Linked DNA regions of Canis lupus familiaris. The protein of the gene in region 1 binds, or shares a complex with, the protein of each later gene. Links are inferred from orthologs where the notes say so. Each region holds a gene or a part of one and is shown on either strand. Other genes may lie near its edges. The genes, in order: ELANE and SLPI.

The links.
Region 2: the proteins of ELANE (region 1) and SLPI are in contact, whole or in part, in a crystal structure (PDB 2Z7F), measured with the Homo sapiens proteins. The link is inferred for Canis lupus familiaris from reciprocal best matches to the Homo sapiens genes ELANE and SLPI. Residues at the interface, in NP_001963.1 of Homo sapiens: His53, Phe54, Cys55, His70, Cys71, Asn74, Val75, Pro111, Val112, Asn113, Leu114, Leu158, Ile165, Leu180, Arg182, Val197, Cys198, Phe199, Gly200, Asp201, Ser202, Ala216, Ser217, Phe218, Val219, Arg220, Gly221; in NP_003055.1 of Homo sapiens: Tyr93, Gly94, Gln95, Cys96, Leu97, Met98, Leu99, Pro102, Phe104, Met121, Cys122.

Annotation. Positions count from the first base shown.
Region 1 is NC_049241.1:58,265,091-58,274,824, reverse strand, and holds ELANE (neutrophil elastase precursor), read left to right. Parts: upstream 1-4,148; 5' UTR 4,149-4,168; coding exon 4,169-4,238; intron 4,239-4,369; coding exon 4,370-4,526; intron 4,527-4,861; coding exon 4,862-5,003; intron 5,004-5,446; coding exon 5,447-5,677; intron 5,678-5,770; coding exon 5,771-6,019; 3' UTR 6,020-6,037; downstream 6,038-9,734. Other genes in the region: CFD (complement factor D), read left to right, coding at 8,140-8,615, 8,705-8,849, 8,936-9,193, 9,566-9,727. UniProt on the Homo sapiens protein: Serine protease that modifies the functions of natural killer cells, monocytes and granulocytes. Inhibits C5a-dependent neutrophil enzyme release and chemotaxis. Promotes cleavage of GSDMB, thereby inhibiting pyroptosis. Promotes blood coagulation.
Region 2 is NC_049245.1:33,193,939-33,203,848, forward strand, and holds SLPI (antileukoproteinase precursor), read right to left. Parts: upstream 5,011-9,910; 5' UTR 4,990-5,010; coding exon 4,908-4,989; intron 4,199-4,907; coding exon 4,037-4,198; intron 3,551-4,036; coding exon 3,402-3,550; 3' UTR 3,401-3,401; intron 2,827-3,400; 3' UTR 2,607-2,826; downstream 1-2,606.

The DNA.
Region 1 (9,734 bases):
ACAGGCACAGGACGGGCGGGGGGTCCCTGAGCGCAGGGGACACCGGCGGGGCCTGGGCCACCGGGGGGACATGCCGAGGCCCCGGGGAGACCCTGCGACCAGCCTCTGCCCACGGTGACCCCGGGAAGCCGCGCGGCGCAAACCTGGGGATCCTTCCGACTTCCGCAAACGTGAAATCATTTCGAAATGAAAAGTTAAGGGGCACCTGGGGGGCTCCGTGGGTGAGCCTTGGGCCCAGGGGTGACCCCGGACCCTGACGTCTCCCTCGGCCTGGGTCTCTGCCTCCCTCTGGGTCTCTCAGGAATAAATACATAAAAAATCTTAAAAAAAAAAGGAAACATCAAAAAACATTTCTTTTTTCCGTGACTTTGGCGAGCGCTTGTCTCTACGTTTCTCTGGGTTTAAACTTGTCATAATGATGAGCCCGTATAGGTGAGCGCAGGTGTGTCCCTTGGCGTGCCCCTCCCCCCACGGGGGCTCACCCAGCCCTGGACCCCAGGCCACGTGCTGCTTTGCTGGGGCCGCGCGGACCCCAGGGGAGCAGGGAGGGGGGCACGGGCCAGCCTTCAGGCCCCACGGACCCCCAGGCCCCCTCTGGTCCTGCGGGTGCAAGCCCCACGGTGGGGCTTCCAGGGGGACAGGCAGGGGGTGCCCCTGGGGTCCCTGTGCGTGAGGCCACACGTGCAAATGTCTATCTGGCCTTGCTCGTGCTGGGGCGACGTCCACTCAAGCTGGTCAGCCCCATGGCCTCCCGGCAGGAACGGGGACACTGAGGCAGGGGCGGGGCAGGACTCCTGCTGCTGCTTCCATGGATGCCCCGGGGGGGGGGGGGGGGGGGGGGGGCACAGGGCAGGTTGGAGGCCTTCATCCTGAGGACGATGCTCTAGGCCCGGCCCGGCTTCCCCACACCCTGCCTGGCCCCCAGGACCCTGCGGAAACGAGGGTCGGCCCCCAGCAGACCCCAGCCCCCTGCGGGCGAGCCCCAGGTCACCCACTTTACAGATGGGGAGGGGGGCTGGGGTGAGGTCACACCGTGGCTCTGCCCCCCTGGTCTGGGGGCTCCCAGGCCCCGCGTGACGGAGACCGTGGGTGGGTAGGAGGCTGGGCCCTGCTCACCGCCCTACGTGGCCGGCATCCACTCAAGCTGTGTGCTGCCCACTGCCCGCTGCCTGGGGTCCTGTGAGGGCGCGGAGGCCACCCTGCCCTGGGGTCGGGGTGGGGGGAGACAGCCCTGCCCTGGGGTCACACCTCCTTCCCTCCACCAGGCATCAGCCCCCTGTGCCCTTCAGCGTGACCTGGGCCCTGGTGTCAGGACGAGGCCCCAGGAGCGCTGACCTCAAGCCAAGCATCCTGAGCCCGGGCCCTCCCCCTCGTGTTGGCACCGCAGGCACAAGGCCCGCCCGGGGGCAGGGGGACAGCGCGGGGGGCCGGCGATGGGCTCCGTGTCAGCGTCGCTCACCTGCTTGGCAGTGGCTTCCACGCGCGACCGGGAGGCGGAGGCGAGGCTCAGGGACACGCTCGTCCGCAGGCGGGAGGCCGCCGTCACCCACCCTGCACCAAACATCTCTGGAGCGCCGACTGTTTACACAGCCCTGTGCAGATGCCGGGACACGGCCTGGGGCGCGGCGGGCTTGGTGGGGACAGAGCCCACGACCACCCGCGGGGCACACGGGACCACCCTGCCGCCCGGCCTGGCCCCAGCGAGGTACCCTCTGTCCTGCCCCTCCCGGCCCGCCCGCCCCGAGAACCGGGGCAGAGGATCCCCAGGGCCTAGCGGGGCCCCAGGATGCAGCGGGGGTCAGTAAGTGCCTTGCGAGTGTGTTAGTGCAAGAGTGACGAGGGTTGGAAAGGAGAGGCCCGGGCCTTCGAGCAGGTGAGCAGCCCAGGCGGGCTTGGGGGGCCAATCTGGGCGCCAGCCCCCTCCTGGCGGGTGCCGTGGGGCAGCCCGTCCAGTGCTGCCCTGGAGCCGCGCCCGAGGCCAGGGGTCCGCGTACACAGGAAGAGGCCAATAAAGCCCTGCTGTCGCCTGGTCCCCCTCAGCCACGGGTCCTAGAGGAAGCTGCAGACTCAAAACTCCCCTGATGCAGCCCCACCCCTGCCCATGCCCCCAGCCCTGCGGCCGCCGCCCTGCCTGTGTCCCTCCAGGGGGGAGCGCGGCCCAGGGTCCCCAGCACCCAAGTTCCCGATTGTAGATTCGTGGAGGGCCCAGGTCACGCAGGGACTCTTCCCGGACGCCAGCGCCGCCGGGGTGACCCTGATTTCTCTGTTACCCATCTCTGGGCCTCAGTTTCCTTTTCTAGAAAATGGAGTCCCCCCGGCCATCGCCCAGCCGGACCCTCAGGGGACGGCTCGGGGACTCCCGGCTCGGGGACTGTGCGAGCACCAGGCCACGGGAACGTGGGTCCCGGCAGAGGCCGGGCCGGGGGTTGGGGGGCCTTGGGGGGCTTCCTGGAGGCGGGGTCAGGGCGAGTGCCGGGGGCAGGGCTGCGGTGGAGGGGACAGCGAACTGGTGGGCACAGAGCTGGGCCTAGGGGACAGGTCAGAGGCGGCTGGGAGGGCGCAGCGGTCGCGGTGCGGCATCTGGAGGCAGCACCTTCCGTCCTGACCTCCTCTGCTGCCACCCGGTGGCGTGATGCAAACTCAGGCCGCGACAAGCCGCCGGGAGGGGACAGGAGCTGCCACAGCTGGCAGCGGGAGGGGGCGGGGGGGATGCTGACGCGTATCAGGAGGGTGCCAGGAATTTCCCGAATTTCCCAGGAGCCCAAGGCAGGGAGGTGGTTTCTAGACAAAGCCCAGGGGGACCCTTCGTGCCCAGGGAGGGGGCAGTGAGGACGTGGGGGGGGGCGTCCACGGCCCGTGACGGGAACGCAGACCCGCAGCTGGAAGGCCCCTGAGGCTGCTCCGGAGGGGTCGGACCCAGAAGGGGAGGGGGCCGCGGTGCCGGGGGTGGGGGGGCAGCAGTCCCCACACTCGAGGTCCCCGCGCCCCCAAGGACGTTCTTACTGTGGCCTGAGTGACGCCGGGTGAGGTGCCCGCATCCCCGGGGTCCCGAGTGGACGTAGAGCCCCGCCGGCCTGCGCCCCTCGCGGCGGCCACCCCCCTGCCCCACAGGTGGCTAACGGGTAGTGACCCTCGAGGATGCCACTTTGTCACCCATGTCCGTTTATCCTCATTTTGCCCCCAGAGCCTGTGGCTCACGCGCATTGTAGAGACGGGGACACGGAGTGCACACGGGTCCAGTCTGCGGCCTGCACGGGTGCAGCAGGCGAGTGGCCACCGCAGGAGAGTCCACACACTGCACCCCCGCGACATGGATGCGCAGAGTACACAGGGGTGCTCAGTAGATGCAGCTGGGGGTACGCCTCCAGGGACTCGGCTGCCCCCACTCCACCCACCAGACCCCCCTCGGGGGCTTACAAGGCTCCAGGGACCTTCAGGGACGAGGGTGGGGGTCGCGCCGGGAGGGGAGGGGCAGGACGGGGCGGGGGGCATGGGGCCCTGGGACCCTGGGGACACCGAGCGCGGGCTCCGGGTGGCAGGGGCATCTGCCCAGCCCGGACAGTGGGGGCCCCACGGTGGCCCCAGCCTGGGCGCCCCCGGATCCGTTGGTGCCTTCCCGAGCCTCGAGCCAGTGGGACGTTGCCTCTTGCGACAGCAGCTGGCGGAGTCCTGGGGGAGGCGGGAAGTGGAGCAGGGGTGGGGGGGATGGGGGAGCGGGCCTGGGGGACTGCCGGCCGCCCTCCTGCTGTGACCTGGGGGGCTGGGGCGAGCTTGCATCTCAGGTGGGGGCCCAGACGCCCTGCCGCCCCCAGGGGACATCGGGGCAGTGCTCGCAGCCCTGGGTAAACCGAGGCAGCCAGGGGTCCCGCCAAGGTCCGTCAGGCGCAGGGTGCCGGACTCAGTGACGTCACAGGACGCCCCTCTGAGCGTGGAGGTGGAGGTCGGCGGCTCGCCCCTGGACGGCCCGTCCTGCGCAGCCCTGGGGACCCGCTCACAGTGACAGCCTGGGAACGTCCCGCCCTCCGGGCCTCCCGCCCCCGCCTCCCCTCACCCCCGGGGGGCACAGGAAGTGGGGACACCTGGCCCCTCCGTGGGGCAACAGCAACGGCCAGCGGGGCCTATAAGAGGGGCGGGGGGCCCGGGGCCGCGACACCGCCACCGCCCGGCCATGACCGCCCGCCGAGTGCCCGCCGGCCCTGCCCTGGGCCCACTGCTGCTGCTGGCCACGCTGCTGCCCGGTGAGTGGGCGCGGCCGCCCGCACCCTCGTCCTCGGTCCCCTGATCTCAGCTGAGCCCGCGAGGAGCCCTGGGGCCCGCGACAGCCACGGGCCGGGGTCCCCCGGCGCTCACCGCCCCCGTGTGTCCTCAGGCCCCGCTCTGGCCTCGGAGATCGTGGGTGGCCGCCCGGCCCAGCCCCATGCATGGCCCTTCATGGTGTCCCTGCAGCGGCGTGGAGGTCACTTCTGTGGTGGGACCCTCATCGCCCCCAACTTCGTCATGTCGGCGGCCCACTGCGTGGATGGCTTGTGAGTGCCCCCGGCTCCCGCCGCCTTCCCTGGAGACTCGTTTGCACCTCTGTGTGATGGGGACACGGTGACACCAGGGCCCCGAGGTCCTCCCAGGGCTGCCCTGTGCCCCCCGTGCTCCCCGTCCCCTCCCTCTGCTCCCGTGTCCTCCCCGTGCCCTCCCCGTGCCCCCCGTGCCCTCCCTGTGCCCCCCCGTGCTCACATTAGTGCACCTCCCCTGCCGGGCCCAGAGGGTGAGGTCCGTGCAGACCCTCCTGGGCTCGGGGGGCACAGCTGAGGCCTGGGGTGTCCCCACCGCCAGGGCCACTTCGAATCACGCCGTCTGTTTGCCGCAGGAACTTCCGGTCAGTGGTGGTGGTGCTGGGGGCGCATGACCTGGGGGAACGCGAGAGCACCAGGCAGTTGTTCGCCGTCCAGCGGGTCTTTGAAAACGGCTTCGACCCCGTCAGGCTGGTGAATGACATCGTGCTCCTGCAGGTGAGCTGGGCAGGGGCGCCTGGGGGTCGGGGCGCTGTCCCTGCCACGTCCCTCCCGGTGCCTCGGCCTCCACCGCTGGACGGGAGGACCCCCTCCCCCCCCGGGGCTCTGGGAACTGAGGTGGCGCCAGAGGCGCTGAGCCGCGGCCCATCAACAAACTTGTAATTCGTGTGGCCGAGCACGTGGACCGGGAGCCTCTAGGATGAAACCCTCCCTCCCCCACCGCTTGCGGAGTTACTATTCCCTGGGAAGGTTCTAGAACAAGGGCTGTCTTGTCATTGCTGCTGCCCACGGTGTGTGCCATCGAGTGCCCACCGTGTGCTGCGTTCAAGGCTCGTCCGGAGATGCTCAGAGCCCCTGTGCTTGCTCCCACTGCGCATCTGGGGAGACTGAGGCCCAGGAGGGGAGGTCATGACCCTGATGCCCCCACCCACCCCCCACAGCTCAACGGCTCGGCCACCATCAACGCCAACGTGCAGGTGGCCAGGCTGCCCGCCCAGAATCAAGGCGTGGGCAACGGCGTGCAGTGCCTGGCCATGGGCTGGGGCCAGCTGGGCACGGCCCAGCCGCCGCCCAGGATCCTGCAGGAGCTCAACGTGACCGTGGTGACCACCCTGTGCCGCCGCTCCAACGTGTGCACGCTGGTGCCACGCCGGCGGGCCGGCATCTGCTTCGTACGTACCCCGGGCCCCCGGGTGCCCTCCCCGCGCCCCCCTCGCGGCCCCCAGCGCCGACACGCGGCCTGCCAACCCCGTCCGTGTCCACAGGGGGACTCCGGGGGGCCCCTGGTCTGCAACGGGCTGATCCAGGGCATCGACTCCTTCATCCGCGGCAGCTGCGCCTCCGGGTTCTTCCCCGACGCCTTCGCCCCCGTCGCTCAGTTCGTGGACTGGATCAACTCCATCATCCGCCGCCCGCCCGCCCTCCCGCCCGCGCGCCCCGGCCAGCAGGACCCCGAACGAGGCGCCGCCCGCGCGCCGCCGCCCGCCCCGCATCGCCCGCGTCCCACCCAATAAAGCCCTCCCTGGTTGTGAGAACGTGTCCGGGTGTTTGTGGCGGCGCGGCTGGGGCGTCTCGTGAGCCTGCTGCCCCCAAGGGCGGCCAATTCAGGGCATCGGGGAAGGGGCGCCGATTGCCGTTCCTGGTTCCCAGGCTCACGGACGGAACCACGGCAGCTGCTGAGGCCTGCGCTGTGGCAGGTGCGCCCCGAGGGCCCCCGGCTGGCCCTCTGTGTCCCCGACAGGTGACGAGGTACAGGTCCAGGCAGGGGTGAAGCCGCACCCGGGAGCCCACGCTGGAGCCCCAGCTCTGTGACCGGTCAACTTCCCTGAGCCCGTTTCCGTTAATTTTTTTTTAAGTTTTTAATTTTGTTTATTTTTTAATTTTAAATTTTCTTTATTTTTTAAAAGATTTTATTTATTTATTCATAAGAGACATACAAAGAGACAGAGAGGTTGAGAGAGGAAGACCGGCAGAGACCCAGGCAGAGGGAGAAGCAGGCTCCGTGCGGGGAGCCCGAGGCGGGACTCGATCCGGGACCCGGGGTCACGCCCTGGGCCAGAGGCAGATGCTCACCCGCCGAGCCCCACAGGCGCCCCCACCCTGAGCCTGTTTCCCTGCAGGAAGTACCGAGGCGAGGGTCCGCGTCCCAGCCGCCCCCCACCTGCACTCCTGATGGAGATCACAGCAGGGGCTCCCGGGCGGGGCTCTGGCCCTGGGGCCCCACGGCCTTGGCCGGTCCCTGGCGGCCCCCTCCCTACGCGGCGTCCGGCTGCCGTGCGATTGGCCCTTCAGCCTAGTATTGCACCATATACCCTGGCGGTGTCTCCGCGGCCACCGGGCCCCTGGGGGTGCTCGGGGCCCTTTGTCAAACCGCCGTCTTGCCGAGTCGTCCCCAAGCCTTGCTGAGATGCCCACCTCTTCCAGGAGCTGGGCTCCATCCCCTACAGGACTTGTTTGGCTACTGACCTCAGCAAGGAAACCTGTCAGGATCTAGCAAATCACGGTCGTGTTCTGTCCATCCTTCTCTGTGTATGCAACAGTCCACGGCGAAGAGAAAGAAGGGCAACGTTGCGCAATGCGCCCATTGGGGACGTCCAAGGTCCACCCCACCCTCATGGTCCCAGCACTGGCCCCGCTGTGGGTTCGTGAGACGTGGATCTGTCGTCCCCCCCTGCTAGAGAGGGCCATGTAACCCTTGGCTGACCAGAATCTGCCATCCCTTGCTCACAGCGATTGGTTTGGGAGGGGACACGTGAGGGAAGCTCAGCTAATCAGCACGGCCTGGACAAGTTGGCTGGAAGGATGGAGGATTTGGGAGGGGCCTGCCCAGCCACTGGGCTGGGTCTGGGGCTTTTGGGGTCACAACGAGGGAGACTGTTGAGGAGAAAAGCCACCGAGGAGGAAAGGAGAAACCACAGACAGAGATAGTTCAGGCTCCTGGATCAAACCACACCTGAAGGTAGGCCCCCCTGAAATTCCCATTTAAATTTCCTTGTTGAAGACTCTACCGAGTTCAACTTGGTAGTTTTTCTAAGAGATTTATTTCTTTGAGAGACAGAGAGAGAGAGAAAGAGAGAGAGAGGGAGAAAGAATGAGCATGGGCAGTGGGGAGGGGCAGAAGGAGCATCAGGCTCCTCGCTGAGCGGGGAGCCCAGGACCCGGGATCGTGATCTGAGCCGAAGACGCACGCATCATCCCGACTGAGCCACCCAGGTGCCCCTCGGCTTGGCTTTTCTGTCACTTGTAGCCCACAGTTCCTCCAGCTGCCTCCACACCGCCTCTTTAATATGCGCCTCGTTGGGGTGTCAGGCCCCGGTGCCCCTGGGGACGAGCATGTCAGGCCACCTCCCATCCCCACCCTGACCTCTCCTCCAAGTTGGGGGAGGAAGAGAAACAAGAGAAGGGCGGAAATATGAGGAAGTTGGTTGTTTATAAACTGTGGTCTCCAGCTGCTGTTGCAAAACTTGGGGCGGGGAGAGCACCCTGGGGAGATGGGGGGGCAGCGGGGCCGGGCCTGCTCTGGCCTCTGCGCGTCCTGGGCTCGGCTGCCACAGGGCCAGGCCAGCAGGTGGGTGTGCGGAGCGCTGCCCCCCGCCCGGCTCACACGCGTGCCCGTCCCAGGCCCCACGGCAGCATGGCCCCCCGCCTCGGCCCGGTGCCCCTGGTGCCCCTGGTGCTGCTAGGAGCCGCCCTGTGTGGTGAGTGGACCTGGGCCCAGGGGACCGGGCGGGCGGGCAGCCGGGGAGGGGAGGCGCGGCTCCACCTGGACGGGGGCTCTGCACCCGAGGGACTCCCCGAGGCGGGAGCGCCAGGGCCGAGCTCTGCCCACGCGGGGCCCACGCAGGACGCAGCCCCGCGGGCCGAGCTCGCGCTGAGCCCGGAGGCGCCGCGTGGGGCGCGGGCTTGGCCCAGACCCCCGTCACCCGCCCCCCGCCTGCCCCTCCCCCCCGCAGCCGCGCAGCCTCGTGGGCGCATCCTGGGCGGGAGCGAGGCCGAGTCCCACGCGCGGCCCTACATGGCGTCGGTGCAGGTGGACGGCAAGCACGTGTGCGGCGGCTTCCTGGTGTCGGAGCGCTGGGTGCTGAGCGCGGCGCACTGCCTGGAGGACGTGTGAGCGGCGGGCGCGGCGGGCGCGGAGGGGCGCGGCGGGGCGGGGCGGGGCGCCGCGGACGAGGCTGTGACCCCAACCCCGCTCCCAGGGCCGACGGGAAGGTGCGGGTGCTCCTGGGCGCGCACTCCCTGTCGCAGCCGGAGCCGTCCAAGCGCTGGTACGACGTGCTGCGGGCGGTGCCCCACCCCGACAGCCGGCGCGACACCATCGAGCACGACCTCCTCCTGCTGCAGGTGAGCACCTGGGCCGCCGCGGGGGCCGCCACCTGGGCCGCAGGCCCGCCCCGCGCCGCCCTGACCCCGCGCCGCCCCCTCCGCAGCTGTCCGAGGACGCCGAGCTGGGCCCCGCCGTGCAGCCCCTGCGCTGGCAGCGCGAGGACCGCGACGTGGCGGCCGGGACGCGCTGCGACGTGGCGGGCTGGGGCGTGGTCAGCCACACGGGCCGCCGGCCCGACCGCCTGCAGCACCTGATCCTGCCGGTGCTCGACCGCGCCACCTGCAACCTGCGCACGTACCACGACGGCACCATCACGGAGCGCATGATGTGCGCGGAGAGCAACCGCCGGGACAGCTGCAAGGTGCGCGGGCGGGGCGGGGCAGCAGGGTGGGCGGGGCCACCGAGGGGGCGGGGCCGGCGGGGTGGGCGGGGCCACCGAGGGGCGGTGGCAACAGGATGGGCGGGGCCACCGAGGGGCGGGGGCCGGCGGGGTGGGCGGGGCCACCGAGGGGCGGTGGCAACGGGATGGGCGGGGCCACCGAGGGGCGGTGGCAACAGGATGGGCGGGGCCACCGAGGGGCGGGGCCGGCGGGGTGGGCGGGGCCACCGAGGGGCGGGGCCGGCGGGGTGGGCGGGGCCGGACCACCGCGGGGCGGGGCCCGACCCGGGTCAGACCAGGTGCGCAGGCGAGGGGCGAGGCCGCGGGCGCCGCGCTCACGGCCCGTCCCCGCAGGGCGACTCCGGGGGCCCGCTGGTGTGCGGCGGCGTGGCCGAGGCCGTGGTCACCTCGGGCTCGCGCGTGTGCGGCAACCGCAAGAAGCCCGGCATCTACACGCGCGTGGCGAGCTACGCGGCCTGGATCGACGGCGTGATGGCCGGGGGCGCGGCCGCCTGAGGAGGCC
Region 2 (9,910 bases), on another chromosome or scaffold:
ATAGAATGGGTAGTGGGAGAGGGTAATTATAAATACTAGCTACAACCACATGACCAGTTCCAGAAATGAGGACTGAGGACTGTAATTGTTATGAGATTTCCTCCTTACGTTGCTCTGAATGCATTTGTGTTTTCCTTCTTCTGTCTTTTTTACTGCCTTATCATGTAACATAAGCTGTAGAGACTTTATATCATAGTATTTCTTAATTTTACATTACAGGATTTAAGTTACAGGATATCAAGGAGGAGATCAAACATCACTCAAGGACTTTACCTCTTCTTTTGCAAAAGAGTTAATGTGTTTTTGGTTGTATGAAGAATAACTGTATCATGTTTGGCAGAATTCTGACTTTGTTATTGTCTTTCTTTGGAGATTAAGTATGGTTTAAGTGGATGCATCAGGGTACCAAGCTGACATGGCCTGGGCCTGTGGTGGGTAATTTCTTGTGGCAACTTGACTGATCACAAAATGCCCAGATTAAAAATTATTCATGGGTATGTCTGTGAGGATGTTTCCAGATGAGATTAACATTCGAATCTGTGGAACAGTAAAGTAGAATCCCTTCCCCAGTGTGGGTAGTCCTCATCCAATCCCCTGAGGGTTTAAATAAAACAAAAGGTGGAGGAAGAAGGAATCCACATCTCTTTTCCTCCTTCATTGTTTGAGTTGGAACATCTCACCTCATTTTCTCCTGCCTTTGGATTGGAATGTACACCATCAGTTTTCCTAGTTCTTAAGCCTTCAGACAGGAACTGCATTACACCACAGTTCCAGTTTACAGACAGAAGATTATGGGACTTAGCCTCCATAACTGTGCAAGCCAATTCCTCATCATAAAGGAATGAAAGAGGGGTGCCTGTGTGGATCAGTCAGTTAAGCATCTGCCTTGGCTCAGGTAATGATCCTGGGGTCCTGAGATCGAGCCCCACATTGGGCTCCTTGATCAACAAGGAGTCTGCTTCTCCCTTTCCCTCTGCCCTTCCCCTGCTTGTGTTCTCGCTCTCTTAAATACATAAATACATAAATAAATAAAGTCTTGAAAAAAATCATGTTGAACTTCTATGAAAACTTTTTAAACCTTCATGAATTCTAATTTTAACAGTTTATTTAGGATGTTCCCAACCTTGTTCAGAGACAATGACATTGCCTTATAATTATCTTTTCTTATACTGCCCATATTTGGTGGCAGTAGCAGACTTTTGCTAGCTTCACATTGCAATAGATGTCTATTGCTGCCTAACAAATTGTCCCCCATATTTAGCACCTTCTCCCAGTTCGAGGGTCAGGAAGCCAAGAGTAGCTTCACTGGATGGTTCTTGGTCATGGTCTGTCATGAGGTTATAATCAAACTGTGTGCTGGGACTGCAATCTTTTCAAGATTAGACTGGGGCTGAAACTCTGCCTCCAAGGTTCCTCACATGTTTGTCAGTGGAGCTCAGTTCCTCACATGCTGTTGAGAGACCCTTGTCTCTTCACCTGATGGCCTCTCCACAGATGGCTGAGTGTCCTCCTGACAGGGCAACTGAGTCCTGCCAGAGTAGAAGATCCAAGAGAGGGGACATGCTTCCCAGATGGAAGGTGCCATCCTTAACTCATCTCATCAGGACATAACTACCTCTCACTCTGCAATAGTTTGTTGGTCACATAGACCCATCTTGAAAAACCATGGGAGGGGCCACACAAGGGCTGGAGTCCCAAGAGATGAGGATATCCAGGAGGCAGCTCAGAGAGCGGCTACCCTGCTCACAAAATAAATAAGATGGCACTCCCTCTTTTCCCTCTTCCCTTAAACAGTTAAGTTAATACATCCTGTTGCTGCTCTTGGAACATTGACTGAATGTAGAATGTGGAATGTTTTTTTAGATCAGTGATATTTTCCAGGAAATTATTGAATTACAGTTGTGTTTTGTCCTTCTATGTCACTTTCCAATTAAATTCTCTGCTTCCTTTGGAGTCCAAAGAGCACAGAGAAGTGGGGAGCATGGTTCCCTGCTTGCTCTGAGTTCTGGGAGTCCAGTTCTTATTACTCTTTTCTGCTCCATGGAGTCAAGAACATTATCCTTGTGTGAAAAACAAAACAAACAAACAACACCCATTATCCTTGTGTGGTTACTAGCCAGCAGCATGTTGCTTTCCCTGGGGACTCCAATACCAAAATGCAATGGGCAGAAGTGTTTGGAGTCCCCTCTCAGGATTGATAATCAGTGCATGTGGTTCTGCTCAATATTTACTTTAAGATAGAAGAAATCTCTCCCAAGGGAGAGAGAAGAAATGTAGGAGGCTCAAAATCACCACAGAAGGCAAATATCCACCATTTTTTGAGCCTGCTGTGACCTAGCAACATTGCTATTCATTTCATACATGTGGCATACTCCAATGCTCAACACAATGAGAACGTGATTTTTGTTGCCACTTTGGAGATAAAGAAATTAAGATGTATGAGATAAAGTCATTTGTCCAAAATTGCAGAGCCAGTGTTTTCAGACTCATGATGTAGATTCATGTCTGTCTGCCCCTGAAGCCTCTTTCTTCCACTCTGTATAGGAAGGAGGCCTCATATCCACACATTCCCTCATCACCTCCCATCCAACAAACTACAAGAAGCATGTGGACAAAAGAAATGTGCTCATTTATTTATTCATCAATCAACAGGCATTTCCTGAAAGCCTACAGTGTGCCAAGCCTTTCCCCAGTGGAGATATTGGTAGTAAAACCAAGCCTTCACCATGGAATGCCACCACGGTGATCCAAGCCTGGGAGCAGAAAACAGAATTCCCAGACCACAGAGTAGAAATCCAGAGACTCTTCCAAATGGCAGGTATCAGGCTATGGGAGAAAATCAGATCAGGGTTTTAGTATGGGGACCAGCCAAATTATCTCCCTCTTCTTCCCCCAAGTAACCCCCAAGACAGAGAAAACAGCAAAGTGGTGGTATAGTTGAAAAGTCTTGGTGTCAGGAGACAGAGTTCAAGTCTCAATTTTACTGTGGGACTCTAAACTCAGCAGATTACTCTCAAAGTCCATTGATCTTTTGGTCTCTGACCCTAAACAACGTGCTGAAGTTGATCTTAATAATAAATATTTAGCACAAATGGTGCTTTACAAAGCACTTTCGATTTCAGTATGTCCATTTTACAGATAAGGAAACCAAGACTCAGAGGACCACTTGCCCAGGGCCTTCACCCAGAGGGGTTGGAATAGAATCAAAGTCATGAGTGATCCCATAGAAATCCTGGCCCTGGGGCCTGGGGAGCAGTACCCTTGAAGGATGAGAGGGCCAGGCAGAGGCTGTTTCAGGGTAGGGATCAGGAGTCCCCCAGCTTATATGCCAGGGCTGCCACAGGCTTGGGACAGAGAGGACTGGTGAAAGACAGATGGGTTGGTCCAGGCCACTCCTTACCTTATTCAGGGTCCACACAGGCTTTCCCACACATGCCCTTACAGCACTTCAAGTTAGACACGCACTGGCGGTCTGTCTCACAGTGATTGGGGGGATTGAGCATCAGACACTGGCCATAGACCACCGGACACCTGCCAGGCTTCATTCTAACTGGTGAGAGTAGAGCCACAGGTAAGGGGCCTTGTGCCTTCTGCACCACCCCTGCTTCCTGGACCCAGACCCAGCCCAACCCACTCAAGGAGAATCATCTCTTCTCCATTCCTATGACCACCTCTTCCTTCCCAGGGCCTCTGTATCCCTTCATGGAGGATCCAGGTCTCCTCTCACATAAGGCCCCCTGTCCACACAGGTGACCAGCTGTCTGGTGCTGACTGGATGGATGCCTGCCACCTGCCTGCTTACCTGAATGACCAGATGATTATTGTTCAAAAAGCCGACCTCCTGACAGACTATCTGCTTCACCAGCTAGGTGAGTAAATTCCTGTCTGGGGCAGTGTGACTCCCTGACCAGCTGCCAAATTTGACTCAACAATTCCTGGGAGGGAGGAGACCTGGCAGGACCAGCATCCAGTCCTATCCCCTTAGGTGCTGCATTCTCAGGCTCCCTCCCTCATGCCAGCCCTTCCACCTCCTCACTTGAGTTGGAGACATTAACGGGATCCAAGCATTTGATTCCACAAGCATGAGAGCAACATATCTGCCTCCCCGGACACTGCCAGTCACTCCGGCACTCAAATTTCTCAAATCCAGAAAGGCACCGATCAGGTGGTACAGAAGGGCAGAGTCCAGCTTTCCACGCTGTTGAAGAGAATGTCAAGAGTTGAGGAAGGAGCTGGGTGCTAAGTAGCCATCATGATTCCTGGACAAAGCACCACACTCCAGGAGAGACCCTCACTCATGCAACTGTCCACAAAGTCCAGAGGGAAATGCCTGCCTGACCTCCACAGCGTGGAGGCTTGATTAAACCACACATGAGGGCAGATTAAACCACACATGAGGGCAGAAAAAGTTCCTGGGCCTTGGCAAAGGGCAGAGGGCTCCCAGCCAACATTTCCTGCCCCAGGGAAAACAAAGCTCTGCAAAGGCAAAGAAGCAGTCTGGGAGGGAGGGAGATGGAGAGAGACAAAGGTAAATAGAGCCAACAGGACAGTTTGAGAGCTAGAGCCAGAGGCAGAGACACAGAAACTGAAAGATTGGCACAGAGAGACAAGAAATCAGAGCCAGAGACTGGTGTCTGCAGAGGGACAGACAAGATGAAGAGAGCGGGGTGATGAGAACAGAGGGAGTGGGGCCCGGGCTGACTGGACACCAGTATAAGAGCCCATCCCAATACTCAGAAGCCGACACAGATCTTGGAGCCTAGCTGGACATGAACCCACCCTCAGGGAGGTCTCTTGAAACTAAACTGAGAGATCAGAGCCTCTAGAAGGAGACATCCCCACACCACCAGGAGCCCCCATCACCTCTGCCCTATAGCCAAGATTGTGCCAGAGGGGCTTCAGCTTACCATTTCCAACACCTTCCACAGTCCAAGGCACCAGGGTTCCCAGGACAAGAAGCATGAGGGGGAAGAGGCTGCTGGACTGCATGATGAGACGTCGTGTGGCTCGGAAGGTCAACGCCAAGCCTCATCATTTATATTTTTGCTAGGGGGTGTGGCCCCAACAGAATTTCTTTGGCCCCTCCCAGCTGTGATCGCACCACACAGGAAGCTAGGTGAGATCAGCAATGCTAATACCAGAGAGACAGCAGTTCTTTTCTGTCCTAGCCAAGACCGTGAGGCCAACAGTAACTGCCAGGGAAGAAATGGAAGAGAGTGGCTTGGAAGATGTCACCAGGCTATTAAGGAGGCCATCTCAGTAAAGGGCTAGTAACCAAAATCTATAAAGAAAGTACCAACTCAACACCTAAAAAATAAAACATCCAGTCAAGAAATGGGCAGAAGACATGAACAGACATTTCTCTAAAGAAGACATACAAATGGCCAACAGACACACACACACACAAATGCTCACCATCATTTAGCACCAGGCAAATACAAATCAAAACCACAATGGAATAACACTTCACATCGATCAGAATGGTTAAAATTAGAAAGTCAGGAAACAGCACATGTTGGCGAGGATGCAGAGAAAGCAGAACACTTTACACTGTTGGTGGGAATGCAAGCTGGTGCAGCCACTCTGGAAAATACTATGGAGATTCATTAAAGATAGAGCTACCCTATGACCCAGCAATTGCACTAATAGATATTTACCCAAAGGATACAAACATAATGATTTGAAGGGGCATATACACACCCCTGTTTATAGCACTAATGTCTGCAATAGCAAACTATGGAAAGAGCCCAGATGTCCATCAATGGATCTATCTATCTATATATCTATCTTCTTTATATATGTGTGTGTGTGTATAGCCATCAAAGAGAATTAAATATTGCCATTTGCAATGACATGGATGGAACTAGAGGGTAGTATGCCAAATGAACTAAGTCAGTCAGAGAAAGACAAATACCATGTGATTTCACTCATATGTGGAATTTAAGAAACAAAACAAATGTACATAGGGGAAGGGAAGGAAAAATAAAATAAGACAAAAACAGAGAAGGAGATAAATCATAAGAGACTCTTAACTCTAGGAAATAAACATGGTTACTAGAGGGGATGTGGGTCAGGAGGATGGGGTAGCTGGGTGATGGGCATTAAGGAGGGCACTGAATTGAAGTAATGAGCACTGGGTGTTATATGCAACTGATGAATCACTAAATTCTACCTCTGAAATTAATAACTGTAAGTTAATTAAATTGAATTTAAATTTTTTTAAAAAGGAGGCCATCTCATATGACCATTTCATGTCAGTGTGAACCATGAATGTAGTGGGGGCCCCAAGCCCATAAGCCTGGTGGGAGAAGAGGGCAAGAAGAGGCCAGCTGCAAAGAATATACTTAGATCTGGAGCTAAAGCCACAGATGTGAACTCTCCGCTAAGACCTTGTGCAAGGCCCCACTAATTCTCACATTCCTGGACTCTCAGGGATTGTGAAACTCTCTGCTGATTGCTCAATGCAATTTCCTTCTCAAAAGTTCAGGTGACATTTCAACCAACAGACATTTATTTCCTGAAATATTGACACCATTCTGTCTCCAGTGCCTGGTCCATACCTGATACATGGAAAGCGCTCACTAAACAATTGTCAAATAGGGGCGCCTGGCTGGGTCAGTTGGTGAAGCATGTGATTCCTGATTTCAGGGTCATGACTTCAAGCCCCATGATGGGTGTAGAGGTTACTTAAAATTTTTTTTAATGAGTTAAATTTTAAAAACAGTTATCAAACAAAAAGGTGCAGAAGGAAGAACTCTACCCACAGCAAATCTCTTTGGAGCTCAGTCTTCCCAACTGTGCAATGGGATGATACTAACAAATCAGCCCCTCTGAGAATTGTGAGATTATGGGTATAGAAGAGCTGGAAAAAGAACAAATGAGGGACACCTGGGTGGCTCAGTGATTGAGTGTCTGCCTTGGCTCAGGTCATAATCCTGGAGTACTGGAATTAAGTCCTGCATCAGGCTCCCTGCAGGGAGCCTGCTTCTCCTTCTACCCATGCTCTGGCTCTCTCTGTACGTCTTTCATGAATAAATAAATAAAATATTTTAAAAAGAACAAATGAATTATATCCCTTACAACTGAGAACACTGAATTGAATCTGAGGGGCACCTGGGTGGCTCAGTCGGTTAAGCATCTGCCTTCAGCTCAGTTCATGATCCCAGAATCCTGGGATTGAACCCCTCATCAGGCTCCTTGCTCAATGGGGAGCCTGCTTCTCCCTCTCCCTCTGCCTGCTGCTCCCCCTGCTTGTGATCTCTCTCTGTGTCAAATGAATAAATAAAATCTTTAAGAAAAAAAAAAAAAAAAAGAAATGAATCTGAGACAAAGGTGCAAAGAGCTCCCTGGCCACCAGAATCAATATGTAGTTATAGTGTGCAATTGGAGATACTAGAGGGATGCTTCCTACCCCAAAATCCCCTACAGAACTCCTGAGATAAGTTATATATATATATGGCTGCCATATATTAAACTTATTCTGTGTGTTACCCCATCTGTAGAGAGTGCTTCTAATTATCAAGAAAGTGATCATCATGCCAAAAATTCAGCCCAAACTTGTCTAACTGCACATCCCAACCCCTTATATCATGTGACTTCCAGATGTTTGGGATTTCCTCATTCATTCCTCAAAGTGAAGGTTTGTGGAAATTCAAATAGATGTGAAAGAGTCAAGCATTATCATGCAACAATGGCTACACAGGAACTAATTTGTAAGGTATTCTCCAACAGTCAACTGACAACAGATCTGGCTGTGCAGAAATCCCTCAACGGTTCACATTTGGTGGGAAAAGAAAAAGAAGAAAATTAGAGTGCACTGGGTAACTGGTAAGTGCCAGGTGTCCACTCCTAGCTCAAGCTCAGGAGGGCAAGAGAGATTTGGAAGGTCTGACTTCCACCCATGGGTAATAACACTGTCAGCTCAGACACCCTGGTTTAGGTTCAGGATTTGGGCTCTCACTTCCATCCTCAGGGAGAATTTGATTTCCCTCACACGAGGGGATGAGAGTGGGAGAAACTAGGGATGCCTGGGTGGCTCAGCGGTTGAGCATCTGCCTTCAGCTCAGGGCGTGATCCTGGAGTCCTGGGATCAAGTCCCACTTCGGGCTCCCTGCATGGATCCTGCTTCTCCCTCTGCCTGTGTCTCTGCCTCTCTGTCTCTGTGTCTCTCATGAATAAATAAATAAATAATCTTTAAAAAAAGAGAGAGAGCGAGTGGGAGAAACTGTCACATTTCCCACTCTCTGATACTTCCTACCGTCCTCAACGCCACACTCAAGAGAGTGTCTGGAATTTTCTAAATATTTGCATCTTAAAGGGTGCAGAGGAGAATGCTCCAGATGGAATTCTCCATCTGTGATTGATTATAAAAGCCAACTCCTTTCCTGTAAGAAAGCAGTCCTGTGATCCATTAGCAATGTCTGCTCTGGGTGCCATTGGAGGATGACATGGTGTGATCATTTTTGTCCTTCATACCATTCTAAGTTCTAAGTCTTTAAATCACAGACTGTTAAGATTAAAAGCTATCTCAGAGGTCATCTAGACCAGGGGTCAACTAACGACAGCCCCCAGAGCAAATCCAGACAGCTGCCTGTTTTTTCTAAATAAAGTTTTATTGGAACACAGCCATACATTCATTCATTTATGTATTCTGGGGCTACTTGCCCACTACAAATGGCAGAGTTGAGTAGCTATGGCAGCCACCTAAACTTACTGCAAAGCCTAAAATATTTACTCTCCAGTCCTTCACAGAAAATGTTTGCTGACTCCTGATCTAGACCAAATCTCCAGCTTGCAGTAAGGGACTGAGGTCCTCAGGGGCAGGTACAAGCCCTGAGCCGCATAATGAGTTAGTTACATGGCACCAGACCGAGATTTACTAAAGCTGGTTCCTCCCATGTTGATCCCCAGAACCTGTTTGATGTCGGACTCTACCCCTCCTGACCCCATCTCAACCTGAGATGGATTCACTAAGTCTGCTTCACACACCCTCTGTTGCCTTCTCCTAAATACTACAGATTCACTCATTTGTTAAACGCCTTCACACAAAAAATGGTTTAATGAATTCTTCCTGCATCCAGGTGTGAGGCTAAGCCCTGAGGCTTCAGTGAAGGAGACACATGGAGTCAATACTACATGGTCATTAAGAACCCAAGCAGAGTCAGAGTTCCTTGGGCTGGAAGAAAGTCATGCAACCTCTCTGAGCCTGTTTCCTCGGGTAGCATTGGCTTCTCCTACATTGCTGTGAGTGAAAGGTATTTGGCAAGCACTCGGCACAGTGTCTTTGTCTCTCAGAATGGCAGACATGGTTCTTATTACAGTCAGCACCATGTACACTGGCACACAGGGAGGCACTACAGCCCCAGACCTCGGGTCCAGACCCGGCCTGCTCTGCCCCACTAAATGCCCAACTGAGCCTTCAGGACAGAGCTGCTTCTAGGATGCATTGTTGGGGGAAGGATCTGGGCAAGTATTTCTTGAGGGCCCTCTGTCTCTAGAAACAAATTGATTCAAAAACATTATAGGGGGGCATGGCTGGCTCAGTAGATGCAGAGTGTGACTCTTGATTGTGGTTTTTGTTTTTTTTTTTTTTTTTTTTTTTGCCATGCCCCTACCTTGGGCATAGAGATTACTTAAAAATAAAAACAAAATCTTAGAAAAAATACTGTTTTATATATATCCAAGAGGATTTGGAATAATGAAAGGGGTGTTTGCTTGTTGTCCAAGGAGAGTATGTGAAGTTCCCTCAGTCTCCAGGCATTGTTTCTCCCTCCACAAGTCCAGAAACCAGCTCTTTGTGTTCCGTATAGTCAGATGTGACTAGTTTCAGATCTCCCAGCACAAGGAAGGATGCAATTCTGTTATGACCCAGAGTGCCAAGGCTTTATATTGTCTGTATTAAAACAATGTA